7 linked regions of the Ovis aries genome follow. The protein of the gene in region 1 interacts with the protein of each later gene in a pairwise test. Links are inferred from orthologs where the notes say so. Each region holds a gene or a part of one and is shown in the gene's direction. Other genes may lie near its edges. The genes, in order: EGFR, PRDX1, SH2B1, ARPC5, RET, MAPT and CAMLG.

Region 1 (3,500 bases):
TACCCTCTCAAGGAAGAAAGCTTCCTGCAGCGCTACAGTTCAGACCCCACTGGTGCCCTCACCGAGGACAGCATGGACGACGCTTTCCTCCCAGTACCCGGTGAGTACCGCTCGCTGGGGTTGGGGTGGCGGAGGGGTGTGTGGGTTCTGTTCCATGGCCTCGGGCCCTGGCCCGGGCCAGCTGCTTCCTTCAAGCTGGTTCGGCGGTAAGAGCCCACAGTAAGAGTGCAGACCAAACGAAAGGAGAAGGAGGGCAGTCAATAGACAACGACCAAGTATGCACATGGGTCCAGGCATGTCCAGGTTGTCTTTAGAAGGACTCTGCAGATTTTCTAGAATTTGAAGCCAAAAGTAAAGATTTACATGTGTGAGTGCTTGAGAGAGAGAGTGTGTGGTGTGTGTATGTGAGACAGAGAGAGTGTGTGAGAGAGAGAGAGAGAGTGTGTGTGTGAGAGTGTGAAAAAGTGTGTGAGAGTGTGTGAGAGAGTGTGTGTGAGAAAGTGTGTGAGAGAAAGAGAGTGTGTGAGAAAGAGAGTGTGTGTGAGAGTGTGTGAGTGTGTGTGAGAGAGAGTGTGTGAGAGAAAGAGAGTGTGTGAGAGAGAGTGTGTGAGTGTGTGTGAGAGAGAGTGTGTGAGAGAAAGAGTGTGTGAGAGAGTGTGTGAGAAAGAGAGTGTGTGTGAGAGAGAGTGTGTGAGTGTGTGTGAGAGTGTGTGAGAGAAAGAGAGTGTGTGAGAGAGTGTGTGAGAGAGTGTGAGAGAGTGTGTGAGAAAGAGAGTGTGTGTGAGAGTGTGTGAGTGTGTGAGAGAAAGAGAGTGTGTGAGAGAGAGTGTGTGAGAGAGAGAGTGTGTGTGAGAGAGAGTGTGTGAGTGTGTGTGAGAGAGAGTGTGTGAGAGAAAGAGAGTGTGTGAGAGAGTGTGTGAGAGAGTGTGTGAGTGTGTGTGAGAGAGAGTGTGTGAGAGAAAGAGAGTGTGTGAGAGTGTGTGAGAGAGAGTGTGTGTGAGAGTGTGTGAGTGTGTGTGAGAGAGAGTGTGTGAGAGAAAGAGAGTGTGTGAGAGAGTGTGTGAGAGAGTGTGTGAGAAAGAGAGTGTGTGTGAGAGAGAGTGTGTGAGAGTGTGAGTGAGAGAGTGTGTGAGAGAGTGTGTGTGTGAGAAAGTGTGTGAGAGAAAGAGTGTGTGAGAGAACGAGAGTGTGTGAGTGTGTGAGAGTGTGTGTGTGAGAGAGAGAGTGTGTGAGAGAGAGTGTGTGAGAGTGTGTGTGTGGGAGAGAGAGAGTGGGTGACAGAGAGCGTGTGTGAGAGAGTGTGTGTGAGAGAGAGAGAGACAGATTAGTTCCCTGTTCTCTCTCCTGGCTCCATTTCTGGCCTGTGAAACTTGTATTTGCTTAATCTAAGCTCTGTCCCCAGACAGCCAACCTGCACAAACACACGTCTCAAGGGAAGCAGTCCTCTGAAAACTTTAAACTTTCAAAAGAAAAGCATGCACATTTCTTTGAGCAGTACGAAAAGAACACAATTCATTTTAGCAAGAGAGTCTTCTCCCTAGGTTTCCCTGCCTCTGTCGTCCAGCGCCTCTTTGAAGAATAGTCACAGGGTTTAGAAAGAGCTGTGAAATCCTGTTGAGGATGATGCTTTGCTGATTACACTTGATTTCTTTTCAATTTCAGAATATGTAAACCAATCTGTTCCCAAAAGACCCGCAGGCTCTGTCCAGAACCCTGTCTATCACAATCAGCCTCTATATCCAGCTCCTGGCAGAGACCCTCAGTACCAAAATTCACGCAGCAACGCCGTGGACAACCCTGAGTATCTCAACACCACCCATCCTGCCTGTATCAATGGTGTACTCGACGGCCCTGCCCTCTGGGCTCAGAAGGGCAGTCACCAAATTAGCCTAGACAACCCTGACTACCAGCAGGCCTTTTTTCCCAAGGAAGCCAAGTCGAATGGCATCTTTAAGGGACCTGCAGCTGAAAATACAGAATACCTGCGGGCAGCACCAGCAGGCAGTGACTTTACTGGGGCCTGACCATGGAGGACCACCTCAGCCATAAACTTCTAGCCCCTTCCACCCCCAGGACCAAGCCATGGCAGCTGTTGAGTCCTGACCGCCATGCTGACATTATCTCTTGGACCCACAGACTGGTTTGTCCATATTTGCCCTGATCAACCCACCTTTCAACCAAGAAGTGCCCCTGACTCAGATGCACTTTGCAAAGTTGCAGGGACATTCCTTTGTGTTCAAACTGTGAGGCTTCCACAAAAGGCATCCAGAAAGAATGTTGTCCATTTGGGAAGAAGTTCACCTTTCAGTGAGGTATATTTGAAAAATACTAAATATGTTCAAGGAGTTTTATTGCTTAGGAACATCTGGGTTTTTTTTCATTGACACTGATTTTACTTCTAATGAGCTTTTCTAAGAAGGAAAAAGCTTGCTCATAGCACCTGTGGTACTGAGTTGACCCAGGCCCAGCTGTGACTGAGACGCATGAACCAGCCTTCCAGGTAACACGTGATTCCACTGGCTCTGCTTGGAGACTTCTCTATTGCAAGACAGTTGAATAACCAGCCAGTCCTCTGAGTCCTCAGCAAGCCACATTGGTACTATATCAGATCAACGCAGGTACAAGACAATAAGCCACTTTGAACTCTTCCTAAGCAAGGAAGAAACAGAGGGAGTAGAATTCTTCCTCAGACTTACTTTTATATAGATGTCTCCACGGTACTTTCTCTCCTTTGGGTGACCAGTGTTTTCTAATTAAAAGTATTAGACTTGTTTATTTTCCATTCCATAGTTTTGAAACCCAGTATGCTTTCCCTGTACAGCCAAACAGTAACCACGGTCAGCTTATATGTGATTCATGGACATTCGGACCATTGCCTTTAATTGAGATGGAATGATAGTGCAAAAAAGGAACAAATCCCCCAAATCTGAGTCTTAGAGGAAATATATTAAGTCTTTGGAGGTCAGGGGACAGGTGTCTGTCTGAAGACTGCATATGTGATGCTGCTCTTGAAACTCTTTGAGCTCCCCCAGTGCTCTCCCCGACACACACACGAAACAATTTGTTTAGGCTACTCCTAGAAGATAATTAATTATTTTACTTCGAGGGATTTTTACTCAAAGGGCACTTTGCTCCTCACTGGGAAGTTGCCCAGATCCCTCCTTGCCCTTGGTGAGTTTCAGGGTCCAGGCACGCGGGAAGCTGTGCAGGAGGGCCTCACCACTATGGCGCTTTTCACAGGTGAAATAGAGACAGCATTATGTGTCATATGAAATTCAGGTAAATACGAAGTTTGACTTTGAAGTTGATGATAATGCCTTCATAACATCTCCAGGTACGTGGGAAGAAGAAAACAATCCCCCCTTAAAATAACTCCCTGTAATTGGAGGACCCGCTACTTACGACACAAGCTTTTTCTCATCTGTGTCCCCAAACCCTGAATGTTACATAGTTCTTTGTAGACAGTGTTGTAAACACTCTTAGTCAAGATCCATCTCAGC
Region 2 (3,500 bases), on another chromosome or scaffold:
AATAGCAAAGGCTCTGACTTTCTCTTGTTGGTCTTGTTGCCTTGTGGCAGAGAATCCAGCAATTCAGCTCTTTCTGGGCACTGATTATATGAGTATTGGCAGTAGATGATTGCATCCTTGTTTTTTCTTTTCTTCACAGAAGAACTTGGTGTTTGTGTTAATTTTAACTACTCAGAGAAGATCAAAATTAGACTGAACAGTGCTTATCTGTAGTTGGCAGCTAACATGGAAGAAGGAAAATTCTTATGGCCGAGGTTCTACAGTAGCTGCTAGGCATCATCTGTGTTGCGCATCTTGGTGTTTTAACAGTTGTCTGCCATCAGTTGAAAAAAAAAAAAAAAGGCTTCTTTTTTCCCATAGGAAAATGTCTTTAGGTTTACATTCTCTGCAAAACAAGGAAGTCTATTTCAAAGGGTAACAGGCTTTTTTTTTTTTTTCCCAGGAAAATATGTTGTGTTCTTCTTTTACCCTCTTGACTTCACCTTTGTGTGCCCCACGGAGATCATTGCTTTCAGTGATAGGGCAGAAGAATTTAAGAAACTGAACTGCCAAGTAATTGGTGCTTCTGTGGATTCTCACTTCTGTCACCTGGCATGGTAAATCTCTTGGTCCATTTGGCATGGGCTTATTTTAGAAAATTATAAATTATGGATTTTTTTTTTTTTGTAGCTGTGCTGTGTGGCATGTGGGATCTTAATTCTCCAACCAGGGGTCAAACCTGTGCCTCATGCAGTGGAAACGTGGTAGAAGTCTTAATCCCTGACTACCAGGGAAGTCCAGGCATAGGAGCTTTTAAGCAGCAACTGGAACCAGGAGGCTTTGGCAATAGACTTTTTCAAGTATTGACTTCTGGCTCCTCATGGAAGGAGTGCAAATGCTCTGACTTCCTCTTGTTGCTCTTATAACTTAGCAGCAGAGAAAAAGCAGCTTGGGTTGCAGCTGAGTGTACCCTGGTGATTTTAATTGGCCTCAGCCACTTACCGCTGGACTTCCCTCATAGCTTAGTCGGTAAGAATTTGCCTGCAATGCAGGAAACCCAGGTTCAATTCCTGGGTTGGAAAGATCCCCTGGAGAAGGAAATGGCAATTCACTCCAGTATTCTTGCCTGGAAAATCCCATGGACAGAGGAGCCTGGCAGGCTACAGTCCATGGGGTCGCAAGAGTTGGACACAACTTAGCCACTAAACCACCATTTACTGATGGAAAGAATTTAAAGTTTTCTGGGGAGTTAGATTAGCAACGTTGGGGTAGGATAGACACAGTTAATGCTTTTGTTACAGAAGAATTTGAATGAGTGTGATCGTATGTGTGTTTTTTTTTACTGTAGGATCAACACACCCAAGAAACAAGGAGGACTGGGACCCATGAACATTCCCTTGATATCAGACCCCAAGCGCACCATTGCTCAGGACTATGGGGTCTTAAAGGCCGATGAAGGCATCTCATTCAGGTATATATGCACCAGGAAACTGGATGATTGGCTGAAGATCTTTTATAAGTAGAGCTGTGATCTGTGGAGACGTTTTTTATTTTGTTTTTTTCTTCCTGTTTTGTTGAGAATAATTGATATACATCACTGTGTAAGTTTAAGGTGGATGGCATAATGGTTTCATTCTTTATGCAGGACCTAAGGGGAAGGCCAGTTTCTGCTGATTTACTCTAACAGCAATTTCTAAAACTGTACTATCTCTCCCTCTGACCTTTAATATTTTCTTGCAGGGGCCTTTTTATTATTGATGATAAAGGTATCCTTCGACAGATCACCATAAACGATCTTCCTGTTGGCCGCTCTGTGGATGAGACACTGAGACTAGTTCAGGCCTTCCAGTTTACTGACAAACATGGGGAAGGTAAGCCAGTTTGCCTGGTGACAGGACAGTGGAGTGATAGGGTGGGAAAGACGGTGGGAACAAAGTCTACCAGATAGGAAAAGGGTTATTATGTCTCTTTAAGAAATTTCAGTCTCTGGATTATAGTGGGTTGTAGGGGTGAGGTAATAGAAAAGCTTGGGGAGGAGAATATAAAGGCTTTTTGTTCCAGCTGTGTATTCCCAGCTTCTACCCTGCTCATTTAGAATTACTTACTGCTGCAGATTCAACTTGTTAAAGTGTAGGAGGATCTCATAGGTGTTAACATTTTTGTCTTTTAAAAATTCATTCTGTTGTGCAGAATATTTTTTGTATCTATAAGAATTATAGTCACCAAATACCAAATTATATAAATGTTCAATATAAAAAATTTTTTGAGGAGGGATTAGGGCAAGAGGGTTTGAGATGAAATCTCAAGGTCCTTCGAGAAGTTTCAGGATTAAAGATGTTTTTGTGAGTCTGTCCTTGTAAAATCTAAACATTACTGAGAAGATTCAATTATATGGTTTTTGTCTAGCATTCGTTAGAGTGTAGGTCTTTCTTACTGCTCTGGTCCTTCTCATCTGAAATAGTCTCCTTGAAGTGTTTTTGATAAAGTCCTGAACTGCTTGCTCCCAGGCTCTCAGTTTACAAGACTGTAGCTTCTGAAAACTCCCCACTTTGGCCCAGTGGAGTTGTTGCTTGTAATGAGACCACCGTATTCCAACTAAGAGTTTAGTTTTAAGACCCAGAGAGATGTTATGGGGAGGGAGGTGGGAGGGGGGTTCATGTTAGGGAACGCATGTAAGAATTAAAGATTTTAAAATTTAAAAAAAAAAAAAAGAACAACTCCTCAGTCTGCTCAAGTGCTGGATATGTAGGGGGAAGGGGATCTTGAACCCCACCCAGCTACCCCAGCTTAATGTAATTGAGGATATAAAATAGTTGTGATCACTGCTACTGTTCAATTCACATCTCATGAGTTACAGGAGGTGAAAGTTAAGAGTCTGGATTAGTGGTGTTTGGGGGACCCGAAAGTACTAGTTTGGCTGGAGTGGAAGGCAAGTAGGTAATGGGAATCAGAAGGCACCATTTGCAGAAGTATGTGTAGGGTTTACTCTGGATTGAAGCAGACAGCTGCTGAGACTGCCCTCTGGTGGAGAATGGTTCAGAACAAAGATGGAAGGAGCTGAGGAGTGGGTGGCAAAGTTGGCCCTTTATTTGACTTTCCCTTGCATGTGTAGTATAGACTTTTAAATTAATTTTTACTGGGATAGACTCTTGAACCCAAGGTTTCATGAGTTGTGAAGCTTGCTTCTCAACACTCTTGTTGTCTGCTGCTTCCCATCCCACTAAAACAAGCACAGCTTTCTGTGTGCAGTCTTTAATGGCTTATAATATGATAGTTAGTGTCTGAGTGCCTGTGGATATCAAGCACTCTATGAGGTGCTGTCATGTTATTTGACAAATAATCCTACAGTCCTGTTTTTAAAATTGAGATGCATGTTAGTTTCAGGTGTACCACATAATGATCTGATATTTGTATATCCTACATTCCTGTTTTTCTTTAAAATTTCTTTTATCTTGAATTTACACTTTTTTGGGGGGAGGATCTTTGAGTTAACCTGTATTACATTTTAGCAGAGAAAAGGG
Region 3 (4,160 bases), on another chromosome or scaffold:
GCTATACTCCACATGAGCCGCATTGATTGTGATACCTCGGGCTCGCTCCTCTGGGGCGTTGTCAATCTCTTCGTACTTCTTAAACTTGGCCCCACCTCCCTCCGCTAAAACTAAGGGAAGGAAGGGAACACACTTTTCAGCAAGGCCCTTTCCACTTTAGAAAAGGACAGTCTAGGAAAAGCAACCTTCCAAGATACCCTCCTTCAACTCCTGGGACTAGTAACTCCAGATCAGAAAGAAAATAGAGCCTCAAGGGCTAGCCCTGTGACTTCTCTAGGCCAACAATTCTGCTTACAGGGCACCTTCCCAGGGCTGGAGGGAGGCCACTGGGGGGGTCCCCCAACTTATGCATCAAAAACTTCGTGTTCACGGGAAATCTGTCTTCTGCATCCTGCAGTGTACTGTCCGCCCAATTTCTGGCGCCTTGTGCCCTGGTAAGTCACTTCAGTCGTGTCCGACTCTGTGCGACCCTATGGACTGTAGCCTGCTAAAACTAAGGGAAGGAAGGGAACACACTTTTCAGCAAGGCCCTTTCCACTTTAGAAAAGGACAGTCTATGGACAGGCTCTTCTGTCCATGAGATTCTCCAGTCAAGAATACTGGAGTAGATTGCCATTCCTTTCTCCAGGGGATCTCCCCGACCCCAGGGATCGAACCGGCCTCTCTTACGCCTAACCTGCATTGGCGAGCGGGGTTTTTACCACTAGCGCCACCTGGGAAGCCACCTGGCGCCTTTGGGGCAGCACCAAACACCTAGGCAGTTCCTCCGCGGGCCCCGCCCCCTTGGCTCCAAGTCCCACCTGCAGAGCAGGCGTTGCTGGAAGCCCCCCAACCCAACCCCACTTACTTTTCGTGATGGCCGCGGTGAGGGTGGTCTTGCCATGGTCTACATGGCCGATGGTACCCACGTTCACATGGGGCTTGTCACGTACATAGGTCTTCTTGGCCTCCACAGCCAGGCCACGGCACAAGACGGGCAATGCCGGGGCCTTCAGCTGCCGCAAAAGACCCTGCAATAGTGGTGCTGGGCCGGCGCCGAGACCTGCCGGGGCAGATGCCTGGAGTCACGGCGCAGGTCTGAGCCCGGCCGCTCCCGACGACCCCCACGTGAACCCGGGGCGCCGTGGCCCTCCCCGCCCCCTCACCGCTGAAAAGGGGCGTCGCGCGCAGCAGGGTAGCGGCCGCCATTGTGGTCGTACTGGCGCCGTAGAGAGTACCGGGCACGGGGGCCGGCGCGTGCAGCGGGGAAAGGGCAATTGCGGATGGAAGTCGCTTCCGGCGGAAGTTAGGACCGAGAGGGCACGTCTGGGCCCCTCTAGCCTCCAATCTCTATGGCCCTGTGAACTTCCGGGCGCGCGACAGAACCCGTCCAGGAAAGTGCTGATGGTGGTAAGGTGGGGAAGCTTTCCACGGCGCCCTCCAACCTCGCGGGCTCAGGAGCCACGCAGTTCTCTCTGGTGGCGCCGGGAGGCGATGTGGAGCATCTCATAGCGCGCCTACGCCCCGGAGGCTCATGGGCGTTGTAGTTCCCAGGGCCGTGAGCTGTACTGGCACGTATCGTGGGAGGGCGAGGCCAGGTCCGGAGGGACGGTCCAGGCCTTCTTGAAGCAGAGGCAGCGGCCCCGGCGTGGATGACTCCGGAACGTCTTGGCCCCGAACCACTTGGAGTCCAGTCCGACCCGCCGCGCGGGTCTGACGACAGATCTGGCGGCCTTGTGTCGCAGCTGGAGGTAGGACCAGCCGCTGCGGCCAGGCTGAGGGAAGACTCCCGAGAACCTGTTGGGGGTGGGTCTCTAGTGTGACCCACCTCTCTTTTAAGCCTTTGTTTTCTTATCTGTGAAGTGGGAATAGTATCTACTTTACAGGAAGATCCTGACATCTAGCTCTGAGAGGAAATGAGCTGGGCAAGAGGCAGAAAAGGGGTCCAAAAGCCTCCGGGTCCTACAGTCTTTGAGACCCTCCCCTGGCTCAAATGCCCTGTGAGCCAGGGGGGACAGAGTTTCCTGTCCACCCCTGTCGCCCCTCAGCAGGCCAGAGTAATTCTCTGGATCGTCGGTCAACCCACCCGGTTTTACAGATGACCAGGTGAGAGACCAACTTCTTGTGCCTTTAAGGGCAGCCTGAGTCTGTCTTGTTCCCGCTGTGTCCCTGGCACCTACCACAGGGCGGGGCACTCAGTGAGTGCTCAATTAATGTCTGTTGACTGAATGAATGAGTGCAAGGATAGTAAATGACCTTTAACTTTCACATCCATCATCTCATCACCGTGGGATGATAATAGCAGCTGCTTAACCTTGATTAATGTTTCCAAAATTCATCAGCTCCTAAGACTCAGCTGATGGTGTCTGTTTCAAATAGATTCCTTAATTCCTCCCTTGGAGATTATGATTCAGTAGTATCTGGGTACAGACAAGAAAACTATATTTATTTTTAATACTCTTCTTAAACTCATAGGAGTTTGGGGGACTCAGAATTAGAGCTTTTCATGGTTCAGGCGTTGTGCTTCATGTTGCTTCTCATTCAGTATCACATTCAATGTTATACTGTGTGATAGGACCCCATTTTACTAGTGAGAAAACTGAGCATCACGGTAATTAAGGAACCCAACACAGCTAAACTCCAAAAAAGTGTGCATTTAGCCACTTCACCGAACTATAATTTAACTGTCATTTTACAATGAGAAACTTGCTAAGACTTCTGTCTTCCTGGCCCTCTAAACCCATCAGCTTTGATGAGAAAGGGCTTGTACAATATGAAAGGGTTCTCCTTGTCCCCAACCTGAACCTCAGTCATTCCACTTCTAGAAATTTATCCTAAGACACTATCAGCCACTAACCAGGATATGAAATATTGGGGGCTGGTACTTAAATTAATGCTTTCTTTTTTAGTGGTGCTATATTCATTTTAATGTGTATTAGTTTGAAAGAAAGGCTGGCATTGTAAATGTTGTATTTAAAAAAATGTTGAATCAATTAAAAAAAACAACACTTGGTAGATAAAATGGGTGATATGAATATATGGCAAATCTGGGGAGAGGTGTATGTGAATGACTGAAATTTGCAAAACACAGTGCTCAGGAAAGAGTCCAGAGGGACAGAATTTTTGTAGAGCTTTTGCCTGTTGCACCCTATGTCACAGGAGTCTGGATTTGCAGATAATAGAATTTACATGGGCTGGTTGGAAAACTGTGTCAAGGTGGTAGGCAGCCTACAGAATTGTGGAACGGGCTGAAGAAATGGATCCTAAGCCACAGGTCTGACCTGACCTGGTAAGAAAACTGCTTCTCCTGACACTGCCACCAGACACTAAATGCCAGGACTTAGACTTGTCTGCAACAGCTGCTGCTCATGGTCCTGAAACCGCTTCTACATCAAAAAAGTGACCTTTGGGACTTCCTGGTGGTCCAGTGGTTAAGAATCTGACTTCCAGTGCAGAGGACTTGAGTTCAAGTCCAGATGGGGAACTAAGATCCTACATGCTGCAGGGCAACTGGGCCTATGTGCCACAACTACTGAGCCGGTGGAGTGCTCTGGATCTGTAAGCCACAACAAGGATCCCACGTGCCACAACAAGGATCCCACGTGCCACAACTCAGACCCAACACAGCCATAAATGAATAAATATTTTAAAAAGAAGGAGGAGACACCGAGGAGACAGACCACCTTCTGACTCTGGGAGTTGTTGGATCAGGATGGGAAGCCTGGAATTACCATGCCCATCATGCTCCCATCCGTGGTGAAGCCAAAAATCCAGAAGTGGGCAAAGAGGATCTTAGAAGCCTGGACTCTACATGGTGTGAGATGACAAGTGTCTTTATTGTTTAAGGCAGATGGTGTTAGAGTTGTCTGTTACTTAAAGCCAAATACACCCTAACAGATAAGTCTGCCTTACAGCACTTGGACGTATTTCTTGGTGTCACTTGTCTGAGACTAAGTGACTTGAGTGGGGTGAGGACTGGGCTTCCTTTATCTCCATATACTGTGTGCCTGGCCATAGCAGGTCTCTGTGCATACTTGCACTTGAACTGTTCATGAGCCTTCCAAATCGAAGGGTGCTACCACTGTGATGCTATGAACCTAACATACTCCAAACAGGACACTATGTTTCTCCCATACTCTCTTTACATATCTGAATAAATGGCACCACCTTTGTCCTTTTCC
Region 4 (3,500 bases), on another chromosome or scaffold:
AAACTCAGAAATGTGGGGGAATGAAAATAATTATAATTCCATACCTGTAGATAATCATTACTTTTTGTTGTTGCTGTATGCTTATAGAGTTTTTCTATGAGTTTTTCTTTTCATTAAAATAGATAAACTGCTTTTCATCTGTATAGCAGCATACATGAACAGCTTTACTTGGTAATAAGTTTATTTCTATAATATCTTTTTTAACATCTGTATTTTGATAATCCTGCAGTTTAGTTATATATAAACTTTCATCATATATTTATTGACTTTTTTCCTGTCATAAATAGTATTGAAATGAACAATTCTTGGTAAAGTCTGAATTGTTTCCTTTGAATAAATTTCTGGAAGTGAATGGCTGGATTTTAGACTGCACATTTTTTTAAGGCTACATATGGTATTGCCATACTACCCTTCAGAAAAGTTGTAAAATTACATTGCCTCTTAACCATCTTTCAGTAATTCTTAAGAACCTATTTACTTAATTGTTTAAAGCCCAGATTAAATTTTTTTTCTTTTTTTTTTCAGATTAAATTTTAATGTTTAGTTCTGTTAAGTATTGTAGAAAACTCAGCAATATGGGGGAATAAAAATGTAATCGTCCATAATCCCACACCCAGAGCATTGATCCCCCCACTGTCCATAGCCATTCACACATCCTAGGAGCCCCAAGTATCTCCTTAGTTAAATACTAGTAAATAATAACTTAGGTAAATGCATTATTATCTAGGCAACATAATCTTTTATAAGAGGAAATGCTTCTTTGGTTTTTAAAAGTGAGTAACGTCATTGAAATTTCGTTTTACCACCTTCTGCTTTTTTGTGGGTGTTTTTTTTTAATCAGAGCGTGTGGGTGGGAGGTTATAGCTCTCCATACAAGGATATTTTTCTAAACGGATAATTGCATAGTCTTTAAACTGAAGACAGCAAAAGGTGGTAGAAGCATACTGTAAGATCATGACCGGCAGGAATGCAGAAGGTATCACTTTGTGTTGAATAGAAAGAGAAACATTGTTGAAAGGGGAAATTAAGTGTTCTGTGTACTTGGCTTGCTAGGTGAAAAGCAACTGCTGTTGGAGCAGTCATTCATCAAAGAAAAAGATCATTATAAATGAAGACCACTCTAATACCTATAGTCACTTGACTATAGATGTGAAATGAAAAATAAGTTTTAGAAACTTAAATTTTTATTTATTAATAACATTTCTGAAGGATGCATCAGGGTAGAACTATAATTCAGTTTCCTTCTTTTGGTCTATTTTTTTTAAATCAAGAAGTGAAATGTATTGATTTAATACATTGATAATTTGTTACATCTATCTGTAAGTAAACCCTTTCAGCTCTACCTTCAAATATGTCGAGACTCTGTCTGCTTCTGGCTGCCTCTGCTGCTGCCATGCCAGCCAAAGCCAGCCTGTCTTGGTGCAGGAACTTCCAAGCTGGCTTCCAGGCTTCTGTCTCCTGCTCCCCCGACCCTCCTGCTGCCCCGGGCTTATTTTCAATATGACAGCCAGCTGGTCCTGTTAAAATGTAAGTCAGATGACATCACTCTTTTTAGAAAGAAAGAAAGCGAAAGTGAAGTCGCTCAGTACCATAGCCTACCAGGCTCCTCCCTCCATGGGATATGTAAGTCAGATGACATCACTCTTTTTAGAAAGAAAGAAAGCAAAAGTGAAGTCGCTCAGTACCATAGCCTACCAGGCTCCTCCCTCCATGGGATTCTCCAGGCAAGAGTACTGGAGTGGGTTGCCATTTCCTTCTCCAGGGGATCTTCCTGACCCAGGGATCGAACCCAGGTCTCCCGCATTCCAGGAAGACACTTTAACCTCTGAGCCACCAGGGAAGTCCAACAGCTTCTCATTTCTGTGACTGGAGGCCAGAGTTCTCATAAGGGCCTGCAGGGTTTACGCGTTCTGTCTTCCTACTGCCTCTCTGACTTCCTGCCCTGCACTCCACTCCAGCCCCCTTCATCTTCTTGCTGTCCCTTGAGCACACTGAACACACGCTAGCAGCAGTTACTCTTCTCTCTCTGAAATGTTTGCCTCAGATACACCCAAGGTGTCCTCTTCCTTTCTTCAGGTCTCTACCCGAATGTCACACTCGCAGTGCAGCCTTTCTAAAAACTGGAACTACCCAACACAAAAATGAGACTGAACGATCTGTTGTTTATTTACCTTCAGGATCGCGCAGGCAGCATTGTCTTGAAGGTGCTCATCTCTTTTAAAGCTAACGATATTGAAAAAGCAGTTCAATCCCTGGACAAGAATGGTGTGGATCTCCTAATGAAGTATATTTATAAAGGCTTTGAGAGCCCCTCTGACAATAGCAGTGCTGTGTTATTGCAGTGGCATGAAAAGGTAAGTCATGAATTATACAATCTGTATGACTGGTTCCTTTGTAATGGAAAAAACATTGACAACCTCTAGCCTAAATACCTGTTTTGACTCTTTGGTTATACATTGGTGGTTACTACAAATAAATGCATGAAAATGAAAGTTTAGATTTATGCTTGCTAGCCTTGGTCTTGAGATGCTGATTTGAATTCTTTAACAATTGCCAAAAGCTGGAAAACCCACGCATCCATGAACAGATGAACGTGCATGCATGCGTGTGCAGTCGCTCTGCTCATTCATGTCCAACTGCGCAGCCCCATGAACCATAGCCCACCAGGCTCGTCTCCATCAGATCTTTCAGGCAAGAATACTGGAGTGGGTTGCCATTTTCTCCTCCAGGGTATTAGCCCACATCTCCTGCATTGCAAGTGGATTCTTTACCATTGAGCCATCAGGGATGCCCAAACAGATGAACAGAATCTGACACAGACATACAAGGGAATATTACTTGACCAGAAAATGTTTATCTACATGGTACAGCATGAATGAACCTTGAAAACATTATGCAAAGTGAAATAAACCAGATACAAAAAGACACAAAATACTGTATTCCACAAAATACTGTGATGGCTCAGATGGTAAAAGCGTCTGCCTACAATGCAGGAAGCCTGGGTTCGATCCCTGGGTTGGGAAGATCCCTTGGAGAAGGAAATGGCAACCCACTCCAGTATTCTTGCCTGGAAAATTCCATGGACAGAGGAGCCTGGTAGGCTACAGTCCATGGGGTCGCAAAGAGTCGGACATGACTGAGCGACTTCACTTCACTTCACTTCCGCTTGCATGAAATATCTAGAATAGGCAGGTTCATAGAGACAGAAAATGGATTAGAAATTACCAGTGCCTGTGGAGAAGGGAGACTGGAGAGTTATTGCTTAATGGGTACAGAGTTTCTGTTTGGAGAGATGGGAAAGTATTGTAAATAGATAGTGGTGATGGCTATACAATATTTGAACGTAATTAATGCCACTGAATTTTATATTTAAAGATGGCTAATGTGGCAAATTTTATGTTACATATTTTATCACAGTTCTAAAAAATGAAATCAGGAGTAGGATCAAGAATTCTTAATTTCTTTTTTCTGTTTTCATGCATTTTGCTTTGCAGTATTAG
Region 5 (4,172 bases), on another chromosome or scaffold:
GAGGCAGGCAACAACAGCAGGTCTGGTGGCCGCAGGGTGGCTCTCCTGAGCTGGCAGCACTGTGCCCTGGCCTTCTGCCAGCAGGCCGGCTTGGACATCTCAGCTGGCAGAGCCCCCAGCCAGCCTGTCTTGGCAGCTCCTCCTGAGGGCGAGTGACTTCACTTTGACTTCATATCTGCAGAGATGTGCACAGCTCTTACTCAGCTCTGAGCTCAGCCAGGCGGGAGGGCGCGGCTCTGTGCACAGCAGGAAGAAAAGACCCTGAAATAGGGGCACCTCAGGCCTAGGGACCTGGGATCCTCCCACCCCAAGGTCCCATGTGCTTCCTCTGTGCCTCGGTGGGGGCCTGACCTCAAAAGGCAGCTGGGAGGTGGGAGAACAGTGGCCTTTCCCCCCAGGAGCCTAGCACTCACCTACCACTTCACCCCAGGACCTCCCACCTTAGGGATCCAGAATCTTCCCTCTTTAGTATCAGATGTGTTTATGGGCATCATTTCTTGGGGCAAAAGTTAAATTCTTTTGGGCTCCAGTTCCTTCTTGCTACTTGCTCTGCCACCCTGTGAGCCCCACACCCTAAGAATCCTAATCTGCGGTCGGGGAGAAAGGGTATTACCCTCCAAGCATCCCGTTGAAGCCAGCTCCCCGTCTCTTTGAAAGGTGTGCCCAGTCTGCTGCTTGTTTTCATTGGCTGGACCAGTCCTAAAGAGGGGTTCACAAACTAACGCTAGGACACCCCCGAAGGGACTAGGAGCCACGCGCCAGGCGCACCCCTGGAGCGCGCAGAAGGCGCGCCGGCTCGCGGTCCCTCGCGGGGGCTCTGCCCTCCTCCCTCCTCCCCCCTCCCTCCTCCGGCCCCCAGAGAGGCCGCGCTCCCACCGCACCTCCCCCCTCCGAGAAATGGCGGAGGATGCGCGCCGCGCCCGGAGCCTGGAGGCGGGGCGCCTGCCTCGTCTGTCCGCTCCGGCGCACCCCCAGCCAGTCCGCCCAGACCCCGCATCCCCGCCTGGTTCCCCTGCCCTCTCTGGGCGGCAGGGAAGGTCGAAGCGCAGAGACAGCGAGAGGACGCGCAGGCTGAGGAAGAGTGACTGTGCGTGCGGAGGTGCGCGGCTCGGGGCTGCGGCCGCCAGGCCGGTGCCCGGGTCCCGCACCTCGCCCCTCCGCGTGCCCCGCCCGGCCTTCGCCCCGCGTCCGGCTCTGGTCTCCTAACCCTCGCGCCGGGCGAACCGCACCGGGCATCTCCCGGGGTGGCACCCCGCGCCCCGCCCTTACCCCCGCACCCTGGCCGCGCCCGCCCCGCCCCCAGCCCGCCCCCCTCGCCGCCCCGCCCCGCCCCTGCCCTCGCCTCGGGTGCAGCCCGCGCCCTCCCCGCCTCAGTCCCGCGCCCGGAGCCCCGCGCACAGCTGCGGAGAGTGCCTGGGAGCCCGCGCCCCGACGCTCGGCGCCCGCAGTGTTCGCCGCGCCCTCCGCTCCGGGACGGGCATGGGGCGGCCCGGCTGAGCACCGCACCCCGCCGCTGAGCCCCCCAGCCCGAGGAAGCGTCCCTCTCGCCGCGGCTGCAGTGTGTGCATCGGCGATGGCGAAGGCGACGGCCAGCGCCGCGGGGCTGCGGTTGCTGCTTCTGCTGCTGCCCCTGCTCGGCGAAGGTGAGTTCTGTCGGGGACTGGTGCCCGCGGCGGCCGGGGCGAAGTTGGCGCCGCGCGGTGGAGTGGTCGCGTTCGAAAACGCCTTTCTGTTTGCGGCGGGCAGCGGGCCACGCAGTTACTGGCCGCCTGGGCTCCGCTGGGAGTGGGGTGGTGTGGCGGGCAGCGCGCCTCGGGCCCCAGGCTGGGCGGATCTCGGGCCGGAGAGGGACGCGGGCCGGGCGGCCAGGGTCGGTGCCCAGGGCCGGAGTCGCAGCCGCGCTTGCCTGCCTGCTTGCGCCTCGCGCCACAGCGGCGTCTCGGGGCGAACCGAGCGGGTCTTGTCGGCGTTTTGGTGCAGTTCGGGGAGGACGGGTAAGGTAGCCCTAGAAAGCCTGCCACTGGGGCAGGAGGAGTTGCGTTTCTGTAAACAGTTGTTCCGTCTTGGTTTCCTTTTCGCAGTCCACGTCGGTGCGTTTCTCCTCCAGCTCTGATATCCTCTCTCAGGTGAGAGCGGAGATCTGCTCTTTTTAAAACGGTTGCTTTTCCCTTGTGCGATCTTGCCACCCTACTCCTTAAAAATCCCCCAAGCCTGTGGCCTCCAGGGAGGCTGCCCTCGAGGGCCCGCTAGGGCTGGCCCAGCGCCGCCGGCCCTGGTTCCAGTTCCACGCGCGTCTTTAGAGTCTCCTGCTGCTGCCCCGCAGGGGCACCTGAAGGTGGGGCCTTTGGTACCATTTGACGGTTCGGGGCCAACCAGCACCAAGCGCTTTGACCATCCTGGAGTGGAGTAGGGCTGTGTGCCATCAGCATCGGTGCTGGGAGGGTTCAGACTGGTCACTGTCCCCACCTCCAAAACTCTTGACAAGATGAATGAACCCCAAGGCTGTGGAATCTTTGCTCCTTACCCCCCGTGGCCACGAATTTTAGTTTCTCTCAAATTGTCCCGGATTTTTCTATCTTAAATACTTACATGTATGTATGCACCAAATTTCCCTCTGAGAGTAGCCCCCACCACCCTCCTCCACCTTTCCCTGCGGCCTTTGGGAATACAAAAGGTTCCCTGCTTCTGGCTCTGGGTCCTGCATAGACCGTCGTTTCACAGGCCTGCCCAAGGTTTCATTTGTGTGACTGGATCCTAAGCTCAAGAGGCAGATCCTTAGACTGGGATGGCCCCCAGCCAATCACAGGAAAGGCAGGAGAGAAATCCTTTCCATGCCCTGGGGAAGAATGGGGAAGCACTGGGAGTCTGGGGTTAAGGTGCTGGGAGGGGGAAACTGGCAGGCGAAGGCTCAAGACGGGAGAAGTAAACACAAACAAGGTGTTGAGAAGATCTCTTGTAACTCTGCTTTGCAACTCTAGTGATGGGCGGGTGATCAGGTGAGAGCCGGAAGCCAGGGTGGGCTGGGCGGCCTCAGAGCCTAGCAGAGGACTTCCCACGCCTTTCCTATGTTTAGCCAGGGTGTCCAGCTGAGGCTAGGAGGACTGGACTGGGGGCGGGGCCGCTAGCATGGACCTGTGACACTTGGTAGGAATGCAGGTGGCTTTTTCACAGCCTGGACTCACGGAGTGGGGTGGTGGGAGAAATGCCCTCCCATCCAGGGAAAGCAGGCCTCCTGCCCCACCCACTCTTCCAACGGCATGAGTAAGAAACCGTGACTGGTGACACAGAGTGGAGAGGTACCCAGGAGGAGACAGCCGGGCGTTTGGAGAGGCCTGCGGGCACACTTTACTCAGAGTGGCGGTCCTGAGCTCTCTCGGCGTGGTGCTCCAGACTGCCGCTAGTGAGCCGGGGCCACTGCTCCGGGACTCGCCCAGGCTGGGAGTAGCCCGGCCTCGGGGCGCCCCCTTGTGGATGCAGCCCTTCTGTGGCCGTGCCTGTTACCTGCTGGGTCTCTAGGGGATGAAAGCCTTCCCTGCTGTCCTAGACCGGCCTCCCGCAGACCGGAAGCTCTCTTCTGTGCTGGACAACTGCCGAGAGGCAGGGTAGGGAGGCAACCAGACGGAGCGGCAGTGGGCTGGACCCGAGTGTTGGGGAAAGAAAGCACTGCCTCAGGGCTGGCAGGGATGGGCTAGAGGGCTCAGGGGGGCTCAGAGCAAGGTCATAGGACATCACCAGACCCCTAGGGTGTGCCCCCCTCCACGTGTACACACTCTCATTGTGTAAGAGTGCGTGCGCCTTCAGAAAAGGTGCCATCCCAGACACAGACTCCCAGAGTAGGGCAGGACTGCTCACCCACAGCCTGGAATTTGTGTGAGGGCACAAATTCCATGGGTACGTGCACACACATACACACACACACACACACACTCCTGAATCCATGCTCACACACTCACACTCACTCTTGGCGATCACTGAGACACCACTGCCCTTTCTCAAGGATACATGATCATGAGGCTTGTAGACACACTCACGCCCATGCTGGGCCCCTCACACTACACCCTCATCTGGGAAACCCAGCCCCCCTCCCTGCCTTTCCCATACACTGGGACCCCGGTGTGTATACACAGAGACACTTGCCCCTCCCTACTCACACTCAGGGGGCACAGCCCGTC
Region 6 (3,500 bases), on another chromosome or scaffold:
TATTTATACATATATGCCTGTATGTACATGTATATGTATTTTTTCTCACACGTACATGTTTGCATGTGTGGGCTATTCCTAGAAGGGCACACAAAAAACCCACAACGGTCTCTGCTTCTGGAGAGGGGGCCTGGGGGGCTGGCTGGCAGGTGACTAGCATGGTGCAGCTTAGTTGTTGGGAAGCCATGAAGCCGTCGGCGCCACCATGGCTCCCTCCCTCCCAAGGCCAGCGGGCGGTCACCCGGCCCAGCTCTCCTCCTTAGCCTGCCTGCTCTTCTCTTACAGATCGAAACCCACAAGCTGACCTTCCGCGAGAACGCCAAAGCCAAGACCGACCATGGGGCGGAGATCGTGTACAAGTCACCCGTGGTGTCGGGGGACACGTCCCCCCGGCACCTCAGCAACGTGTCCTCCACCGGCAGCATCGACATGGTGGACTCGCCGCAGCTCGCCACCCTCGCTGACGAGGTGTCTGCCTCCCTGGCCAAGCAGGGTTTGTGATCAGGCCCCGGGGCGGTCAATAATCGTGGAGAGAAGAGAGTGGGAGAGTGTGGGAAAAAAAAGAATAATGCTCTGGCCCTTCGCCCTCTGCCCTCCCCCAGCTGCTCCTCACAGATCGGTTCATCGGTTAATCACTAACCTGCTTGTCGCTCAGCTCTGGCTCGGGGCTTCCAAATCAGTGACCGGAACAGAGCCAAGTTCAGCTTTCCAAATTGATGGGTGGGCCAGTCCTAATAAAGTATTTTTAAAAACACTCCAAAAGAGGGTCCACCCAGAATTTCCTTGGGCAGTTACTTTGATTCTTTTTTTTTCCCCTCTGAGTGGAAGAGGGAGAAGGGAGGCTCTGCAAGCTGCTTCCGGGGACTCTCCAGGCCTGGGGGGGTGCCCCATTCTGGGGGTGTCCCCGAGGCAGCAGTGGCAACAAGGGGCTTGAAACTTGGCACTTCGGTGGAGCCACAGGCGCACGAGGCGCCTTTGGAGCAGGACGGGGTGGGCGGGGCGGGCAGGGGGCGGGGCGGGAAGCGGAAGGGGCCTTGGGGGCGGGGCCTGTGAGGGGCGGGGACGCTGGGGCCTGCCTGGAGGGCCGCGGGCAGGGCACAGCCTCCGCCGCCCGCCGCAGCCTCGGACCAAGCGGCGTCCGGTTCTTGGGGCTCGGGGTCGGCGGAGGCCTACCCTCTGCGGGGAGAAGGGACGGGGCAGAAGAAAGGTGATGGGAAGGACGTCGTGTGGGTCACCTCCTTGGAAAAGACCACCGAGCGCTGGCCTCTTCCTCGCTTCTCGCAGGGTGGGTGGGGGCTCCTGAGCTGAGGGGCTTCCCTCCGCCCCCTGGAACCCCCCGTTTTGTTGAGTTCTGAAGGTGGGAACTGCAGCCGCGTTTTTGGCCACCTCACAGATCTGGAACTTAGGGCTAACCAGTTCTCTTTGTAAGGACTTGTGCCTCTTGGGAGCACCTGCCTGTTTCCAAGCCTGGGCCTCCGGTCCTAAACCTCTCCTCCTTCCCACGGCCATGCAGCCCTGCGTCTGCCCCCACCACGCCTGTGTGTCTGCCGTGCGGAGCCTGGTCACTGCCTGTCCCCTCACTACGTCACGCTGTCCCGAGTTCCCCGCCCCACCACCCACCCCTTCTCGGTAATGGACATTGTTCTGATGGGGCGACACCTGCTTTATACCAAGGGGGAAGTCAAGGAGGGCGAGGTCCGGACACCAGGAACCTCCATCTGTCTGAGTTATAGGCATCCAGCTGTGTCCCTCACGAAGGCCCCCACGACCTTACTCAGTTCCCTGCCCCCACCGCCATCACAGTCGCAAGCCAGGGTGGGGTTCGCAGTGACCCTGGATGTCCATGCCTTGTCTGGGCCCGATCCCCGTCCAGTGCCGAGCTGGCAGCAGGCTGGCCGTCCCGGATGCCTGCCATGGCCCTGGGGCAGGCGGGCAAGGCCCCGAGGGCAGGACCACGCCCCCGTTGTCCCCCACTTCTGCCCCAGCTTGTGACTGCCAGCCTCTTGGAGCCCAGCCGCTGCTCGACCCCAAGTCTGTGTCATCAGCCCTCCGCACCCCGTAAAGGGAAACGTGCCCCCTCGGAACTGGTTCTTCCCCGCCCTGTCCCAGCGGGAAGCAGGGTGGTCTGTCCTGGAGCAGCTGAACATATACATAGATGTCGCCCTCCCCTCCCCGTCCACACCCTGTCGCCTTGTAGTCTGATTTGTCTGTTTATGCTTGGATTCACCAGAGTGACTATGATAGTGAAAAGAAAAAAAAAAAAAAAAGGACGCATGTATCTTGAAATGCTTGTAAAGAGGTTTCTAACCCGCCCTCGTGGGAGTCCTAGGTGTCTCTCACCCCACAGCGGGGACTCAGATCCAGAAGGCCCATGTGGCTCTCCCAGTTGATGAAAGATTTCCATCAGCATCGGGGACCCAACAGAGACCAGCTCCTGACACTGGGGAACCCTCGGCTGTGAACACCTGAAGCCCAGGAGAGGACAGCAGCTCCAGTCCCCCCTCCCTGACCCGGGGCTCCCTTCTGTCAGGCAGAGGGCACGTGTCTTGCGGTGAAGATGGCCCCAGAGAAGCCCCATTGCAGCCCCGAGAGAGGGTTGGACAGTTCCCCGCATCACGAGTGCCTACTGGGGCAAGATCTGCAGCCCACCCCTCAGCTCCAAGCTCTCCCTCAGGAAGGATGGTCCAGCTGCCCACCCAGGGCCCCTACGGTCCCTGGGATGAACGACCAGCCCCAGGGGGCCCCAGCTTCCTGATGTGGTAACAAGTCAGAATACACTTGCCGACCCTCTCCTGCCATGGGGACAAGGGAAGCAGCCTTTGTCAAAATCTGCTGTTTAAAGGAAATCTCAGCCTCGGTCCAGGCCTGCCACTTGTGGTGTGGGAACAGTCAAAGGCAAGCCTGTGGGGCTGGGAGGGTCGGAGTCCAGGGCCGCTGCTCCATTTGCAATCAGAGCATTCCATGCTAGGCATCACATGGGCCCCAGCGTCCCCCCCCCCTCGAGCCTCTCCTCGGTCCTGAGTCCCAGCTGGTCTTGGAAGGGTTCTGGAGGAGGAAACATGGTGTAAAGATATGAGAGATGTGGCCCCTCCTTCCTGCCACCGATTTTGGCCACATTCCTTGCACCCCTCCTTGCAGTCTCGTGTCTGGCTTTCCAAGTACTTCCTTCCCAGAGGGCTCTGGAATCGCCTGTGTTGGGATCAGCCTGAAGATCGTGGTTTAGGTGATCAGGTCAAGTTGCTGGCAGGGAGTCTGCGAAGGGATGCTGGCTTGTAACCTTAAATGAGGACAATCCCCCCAGAGCCGGCACACCCCTACCCCCATTTCCTCCGGAGTCGGTGTCCCTCTTCCACCTGGTCCCCTCAAGCTCTCCACTCACTTTATCAATAATTCCATTTAAATTGACTTCAGTGGTGAGACGTATCCTGTTTGCGATTGCTTATTGTATTCGAGGGGGGAGGGGGGAGGAACCTGTAAGATAGTTAAACCACTGGGCAAAG
Region 7 (3,957 bases), on another chromosome or scaffold:
AGCCTGCCAAGCTCCTCTGTCCATAAAATTTTCCAGGCAACTGGAGAGGGTTGCCATTTCCTACTCCAGAGGATCTTCCCCACCCAGGGAGCAAACCTACTTGTCTCCTGTACTGGAATGCAGATTCTTTTCCACCGCACCACCTGGGAAGCCCATCATACATATGGTGGCTCAGATGGTAACGAATCTGCCGCAACGCGGGAGACCCAGGTTCAGTCCCTGGGTAGGGAGGATCCCCTGGAGAAGGACATGGCTACCCACTCTAGCATTCTTGCCGGGAGAATAGCATGGACAGAGATGCCTGGCAGGCCACACAGAGTTGGAAAGAACTGAAGGACTAACACCTTCACATATATACACCAATTACTTTGCTGTACACTGGAAACTAACACAATCTTATAAATCAACTTTGCTTCAATAAAAAATTCAAATTAAAACATTTTCTTGGGCCCCTATTGTATGCTGTCAACATGGTGTAATGGATAAGGCACCCTTGTTGAGGGCCTACACTGTTCTAAGAGTTGCAGCCCTAGATTTACGAACACAGTGATTGTCTTCATGGAGCTTATATCTTACGAAGTGGGAAGCAGATAATAAAAGTACATTCAGCTTGAGAGTCAGTTATAACTGTTAAGGACAAAGGGCAGATAAGGAGAACAGAGAGTGTTGAGTCGGGGCGACAATATAGAGTGGACAGGGAAGGCTTCACTGGGAAAGTCTTTATCAAAACAGGCATGCATTTGGTAGAAGCACTGCTGAAGATGAGGAATCAGCACCAAGAACAAATCCCAGCCGCAACGCTCCATAAAGCGTCGCTCTCGAAGTTACGTATTCCTGACGCCTCTAAGCGAGCCCGAAGAAGGTCACTGGAAACCAGTGCCTGCCACTCCAAGCTCCATTTTGCTTCCTGGCATCAGGTAGGCGGAGTCTATTCCTTGCTCACATGTTTCTAATGGGTCAAACCGGATGCCGGGTTTCTTCACCTCCGAGTGAACGGCAACGGCGCCCGATGGCGGGGGAGGAGCATTAAGGACCAGCCCAGGTGGGAGGAATTAGAGCGGCCAAGGATGCCCTTACTCAAGATGGCGGCGCAGAGCTCGCGCTTGGTCCCGACAGGCGGCGCGCCCGTTTACGCTGCATGTGCGGCCCTGCGCTCTGGGGGGCGGGTCCACAGCGGTAGGGGCACGCGCGGCCTGCGGCCCAGTCTGAAGTCTGGGGCGCCGCGGCTGCCGCTCACGTCATCGCCACCACTCCTGGACAGTGGAGGGGAAGATGGAGCCGGCCGCCGTCGCTACCGACAGCGGGGACCGGCCGGGGGCCCCGGCTGGTTCAGGCCTGTCGGCTTCCCAGCGTCGGGCGGAGCTGCGGCGGAGAAAGCTGCTCATGAACTCGGAACAGCGCATCAACCGAATCATGGGCTTTCACAGGCCTGGGAGCAGCGCGGGTGAGAACCTCCGTTCCCCATAGTTTCCTGCCCATCCCTTTTGAGTCTCGGGGATCATTCTTCCTTGCCCTCCTCCACCCCTTGACTTTTCTGACTAAGCCCTGCTCTCTGACCTCTCCTCCGGCCCCGCCCCTTTGATGAGGTCCCAGGTTCTCACTTCTTCACCGCAGGACGTTTCTTGTATCTCTCCTTAGTTTTCCGCCGCAAACTGCAATGCTCTCGATCCTGAGACCCTCTGCCGTGGTATACTCTCTGCGCACTGACCCTGAGGCGGCCCCAACCCTGCCCTCGTCACCCCCTCGCCTCTCTTGAAGGCCGCACATTTTATTCCCAGACTGCTCTACCTACCGTGCCCGTCAGGAAGATTGCCTGTCTTTCTTTCCCTTGTCAATGCTTTCCCTTCCAGTGCCTTCCTTACCGTCTGCCTTCTTTTTGCTCTGTCGGCCCTCATGAGCTTGTCTTTACTGAACTGCCCCTGTAGTCTGTCCAACGTGAACCACGGCCCCATATCCAGGTGTCTGTGCGGTGCCCTCGACACTCATCTGCAGGCCTTCTTAAACAGGCGAAAAAAATTGGAGCGACCATTCTTTAGAGACCCAACAAGGGAAACGTGCCCATGTGAGGCCTTATCTCGTAATGTGCAGAGATTGATATGAATGATGTCAGGAACTGCCTTCAGCACTGAAAGGAGTTCCTCATTTCTCCCCCAATGACATGTACAATGGGTTTCTTAAAAAAAATTGGTTTTTCCCCTGTATTTACTGTACACTCTTACATTTCTATTTAGTGTTGCCTCTAATATTTGGCCTTCAGTCACTGGCTGCAAGTTCCTTAGATCCTTGTGACTTTTGCTCTGTGGGGCTTTAGATATATAACTCAGAATTTTTAGACAGTTCACAGATTTGCCACTGAAAACTGCCAAGAGAGGTAAGAGCCCTATTTCAAATTCTAGAACAATTGTTAGGAGACACATTTTCTCCTTTAATGGTTAATAGCAGAATATTCTTTCTTAAAGCATTTTCTTTTTTCTTTTACTTTGAGATTTTTATTTTGTCTGTCATTAAAGGTTCCCCGCCCTTTGTTTTGTTTTAAACTAGAACAGCATCCTAAAAGTGCTGAAGTACCTTCTAATGTCTCCTAGATTACAGTAGAAGGGTTATGCAAACCGGTAGCAGGAGGATATGCCACACCCTATGCTGATCGGACTCTGGATTCAGAAATGTAATATTAAAAATAGTTGTTTTAGAATATCTCCGTTCCTCTTTCCCAACTTGTCTATTAGCTTTGTCTTCTGTCCCCAAAATTTGGGTTATATCCTCTGAAAGAATACTGTCTTTGACATTTTTTGTGTGTAGAGGAAGGAATTTGTTTCTTTATGAAGGATCAGTATTAATTCAGAGACTGCCAAATTTTAGCTCTAGTGGCATATTTTTAAATATTAATAAGAAAGATGTTGGCCAGTATGTAATACTTAAGGCTTCTAAATTTCTTTTCTCAGAAGAAGAAAGTCAAACAAAATCAAAACAGCAGGACAGTGATAAACTGAACTCCCTCACCATTCCTTCGGTTTCAAAGCGAGTAGTGCTGGGTGATTCAGTCAGTACAGGACCGGCTGACCACAGTGGAGTGGCCGAGGTAAAGGGAACTCAGCTGGGAGACAAACTGGACTCTTTCATTAGCCCTTCTGAGTGCAGTAATGATATAAGCCTTGAGCTCCGGCAGCGGAACAGAGGGGACCTGACAGCCGACTCTGTCCAGAGGGGTTCTCACCACGGCCTGGAACAGTACCTCTCCAGATTTGAAGAAGCAATGAAGCTAAGGAAACAGCTGATTAGTGAAAAGCCCAGTCAAGAAGATGGAAATACAACAGAAGAATTTGACTCTTTTCGAATATTTAGATTGGTGGGCTGTGCTCTTCTTGCCTTTGGAGTTAGAGCTTTTGTCTGCAAATATTTGGTAAGAAACAGTGGGAAATGAAAATTGGTTATAGTAATGAGTGCTTTTAATCCATAAGATTCATTTCTAATATTAATGTAATATTTGTGATCCATGTGACTGTTTGGAGATGTGTTATAAACTTCTGTTTGCCTTAGGTACAGAGTGAAGTGTTCCAGTTAAATACAGAGCCTGATGATAATGCTAAAATCTTTTTATATGCTAAGTACCATTTTAAGTGCTTTACATATATTAATTCATTTAACCTCATCCTTATGAGCCAGGTAGCATTTGAATCTGTTTTGTAGATTGAAGGGAATGAAGACTCAGGTGAAATCATTTGTACAGGGTCACATTACTAAGTGACAACTGGGATTAAACCCAGGCAGTTTCATTCCAAAACCAAAGGGTAAATTACCTACATATCCTATATATTAATTACCGCTTTTCAGATAACTTGAAATACTAAAATGCAGTTTTGGTCCTGAACGTGATGTAATGTTTTTAGAGTTCAGAGGCATTTAGCATTTTATAATGTTGTACTGTTACCATAATAGCAGTCCATCATGTACCCTTAG

Evidence for each region.
Region 2: the proteins of EGFR (region 1) and PRDX1 interact in a protein complementation assay, tested with the Homo sapiens proteins (2 studies listed by BioGRID and IntAct). The link is inferred for Ovis aries from reciprocal best matches to the Homo sapiens genes EGFR and PRDX1.
Region 3: the proteins of EGFR (region 1) and SH2B1 interact in binary tests that used the Homo sapiens proteins (3 or more experiments, as listed by UniProt). The link is inferred for Ovis aries from reciprocal best matches to the Homo sapiens genes EGFR and SH2B1.
Region 4: the proteins of EGFR (region 1) and ARPC5 interact in a protein complementation assay, tested with the Homo sapiens proteins (2 studies listed by IntAct). The link is inferred for Ovis aries from reciprocal best matches to the Homo sapiens genes EGFR and ARPC5.
Region 5: the proteins of EGFR (region 1) and RET interact in a protein complementation assay, tested with the Homo sapiens proteins (3 studies listed by BioGRID and IntAct, with this or other methods). The link is inferred for Ovis aries from reciprocal best matches to the Homo sapiens genes EGFR and RET.
Region 6: the proteins of EGFR (region 1) and MAPT interact in a protein complementation assay, tested with the Homo sapiens proteins (3 studies listed by BioGRID and IntAct, with this or other methods). The link is inferred for Ovis aries from reciprocal best matches to the Homo sapiens genes EGFR and MAPT.
Region 7: the proteins of EGFR (region 1) and CAMLG interact in binary tests that used the Homo sapiens proteins (3 or more experiments, as listed by UniProt). The link is inferred for Ovis aries from reciprocal best matches to the Homo sapiens genes EGFR and CAMLG.

What each region holds. Positions count from the first base shown.
Region 1 is NC_056072.1:885,938-889,437, reverse strand, and holds part of EGFR (epidermal growth factor receptor), read left to right. Parts: coding exon 1-100; intron 101-1,662; coding exon 1,663-2,024; 3' UTR 2,025-3,500. UniProt on the Homo sapiens protein: Receptor tyrosine kinase binding ligands of the EGF family and activating several signaling cascades to convert extracellular cues into appropriate cellular responses.
Region 2 is NC_056054.1:20,139,439-20,142,938, reverse strand, and holds part of PRDX1 (peroxiredoxin-1), read left to right. Parts: intron 1-442; coding exon 443-596; intron 597-1,327; coding exon 1,328-1,450; intron 1,451-1,719; coding exon 1,720-1,850; intron 1,851-3,500. UniProt on the Homo sapiens protein: Thiol-specific peroxidase that catalyzes the reduction of hydrogen peroxide and organic hydroperoxides to water and alcohols, respectively.
Region 3 is NC_056077.1:26,477,881-26,482,040, reverse strand, and holds the start of SH2B1 (SH2B adapter protein 1), read left to right. Parts: upstream 1-1,360; 5' UTR 1,361-4,160. Other genes in the region: TUFM (elongation factor Tu, mitochondrial), read right to left, coding at 1-110, 848-1,042, 1,146-1,188. UniProt on the Homo sapiens protein: Adapter protein for several members of the tyrosine kinase receptor family.
Region 4 is NC_056065.1:64,118,550-64,122,049, reverse strand, and holds part of ARPC5 (actin-related protein 2/3 complex subunit 5), read left to right. Parts: intron 1-2,177; coding exon 2,178-2,354; intron 2,355-3,500. UniProt on the Homo sapiens protein: Component of the Arp2/3 complex, a multiprotein complex that mediates actin polymerization upon stimulation by nucleation-promoting factor (NPF).
Region 5 is NC_056078.1:12,795,838-12,800,009, forward strand, and holds the start of RET (proto-oncogene tyrosine-protein kinase receptor Ret), read left to right. Parts: upstream 1-1,372; 5' UTR 1,373-1,573; coding exon 1,574-1,643; intron 1,644-4,172. UniProt on the Homo sapiens protein: Receptor tyrosine-protein kinase involved in numerous cellular mechanisms including cell proliferation, neuronal navigation, cell migration, and cell differentiation in response to glia cell line-derived growth family factors (GDNF, NRTN, ARTN, PSPN and GDF15).
Region 6 is NC_056064.1:45,741,946-45,745,445, forward strand, and holds part of MAPT (microtubule-associated protein tau), read left to right. Parts: intron 1-285; coding exon 286-501; 3' UTR 502-3,500. UniProt on the Homo sapiens protein: Promotes microtubule assembly and stability, and might be involved in the establishment and maintenance of neuronal polarity.
Region 7 is NC_056058.1:43,871,335-43,875,291, forward strand, and holds the start of CAMLG (guided entry of tail-anchored proteins factor CAMLG), read left to right. Parts: upstream 1-1,157; 5' UTR 1,158-1,272; coding exon 1,273-1,444; intron 1,445-2,942; coding exon 2,943-3,400; intron 3,401-3,957. UniProt on the Homo sapiens protein: Required for the post-translational delivery of tail-anchored (TA) proteins to the endoplasmic reticulum.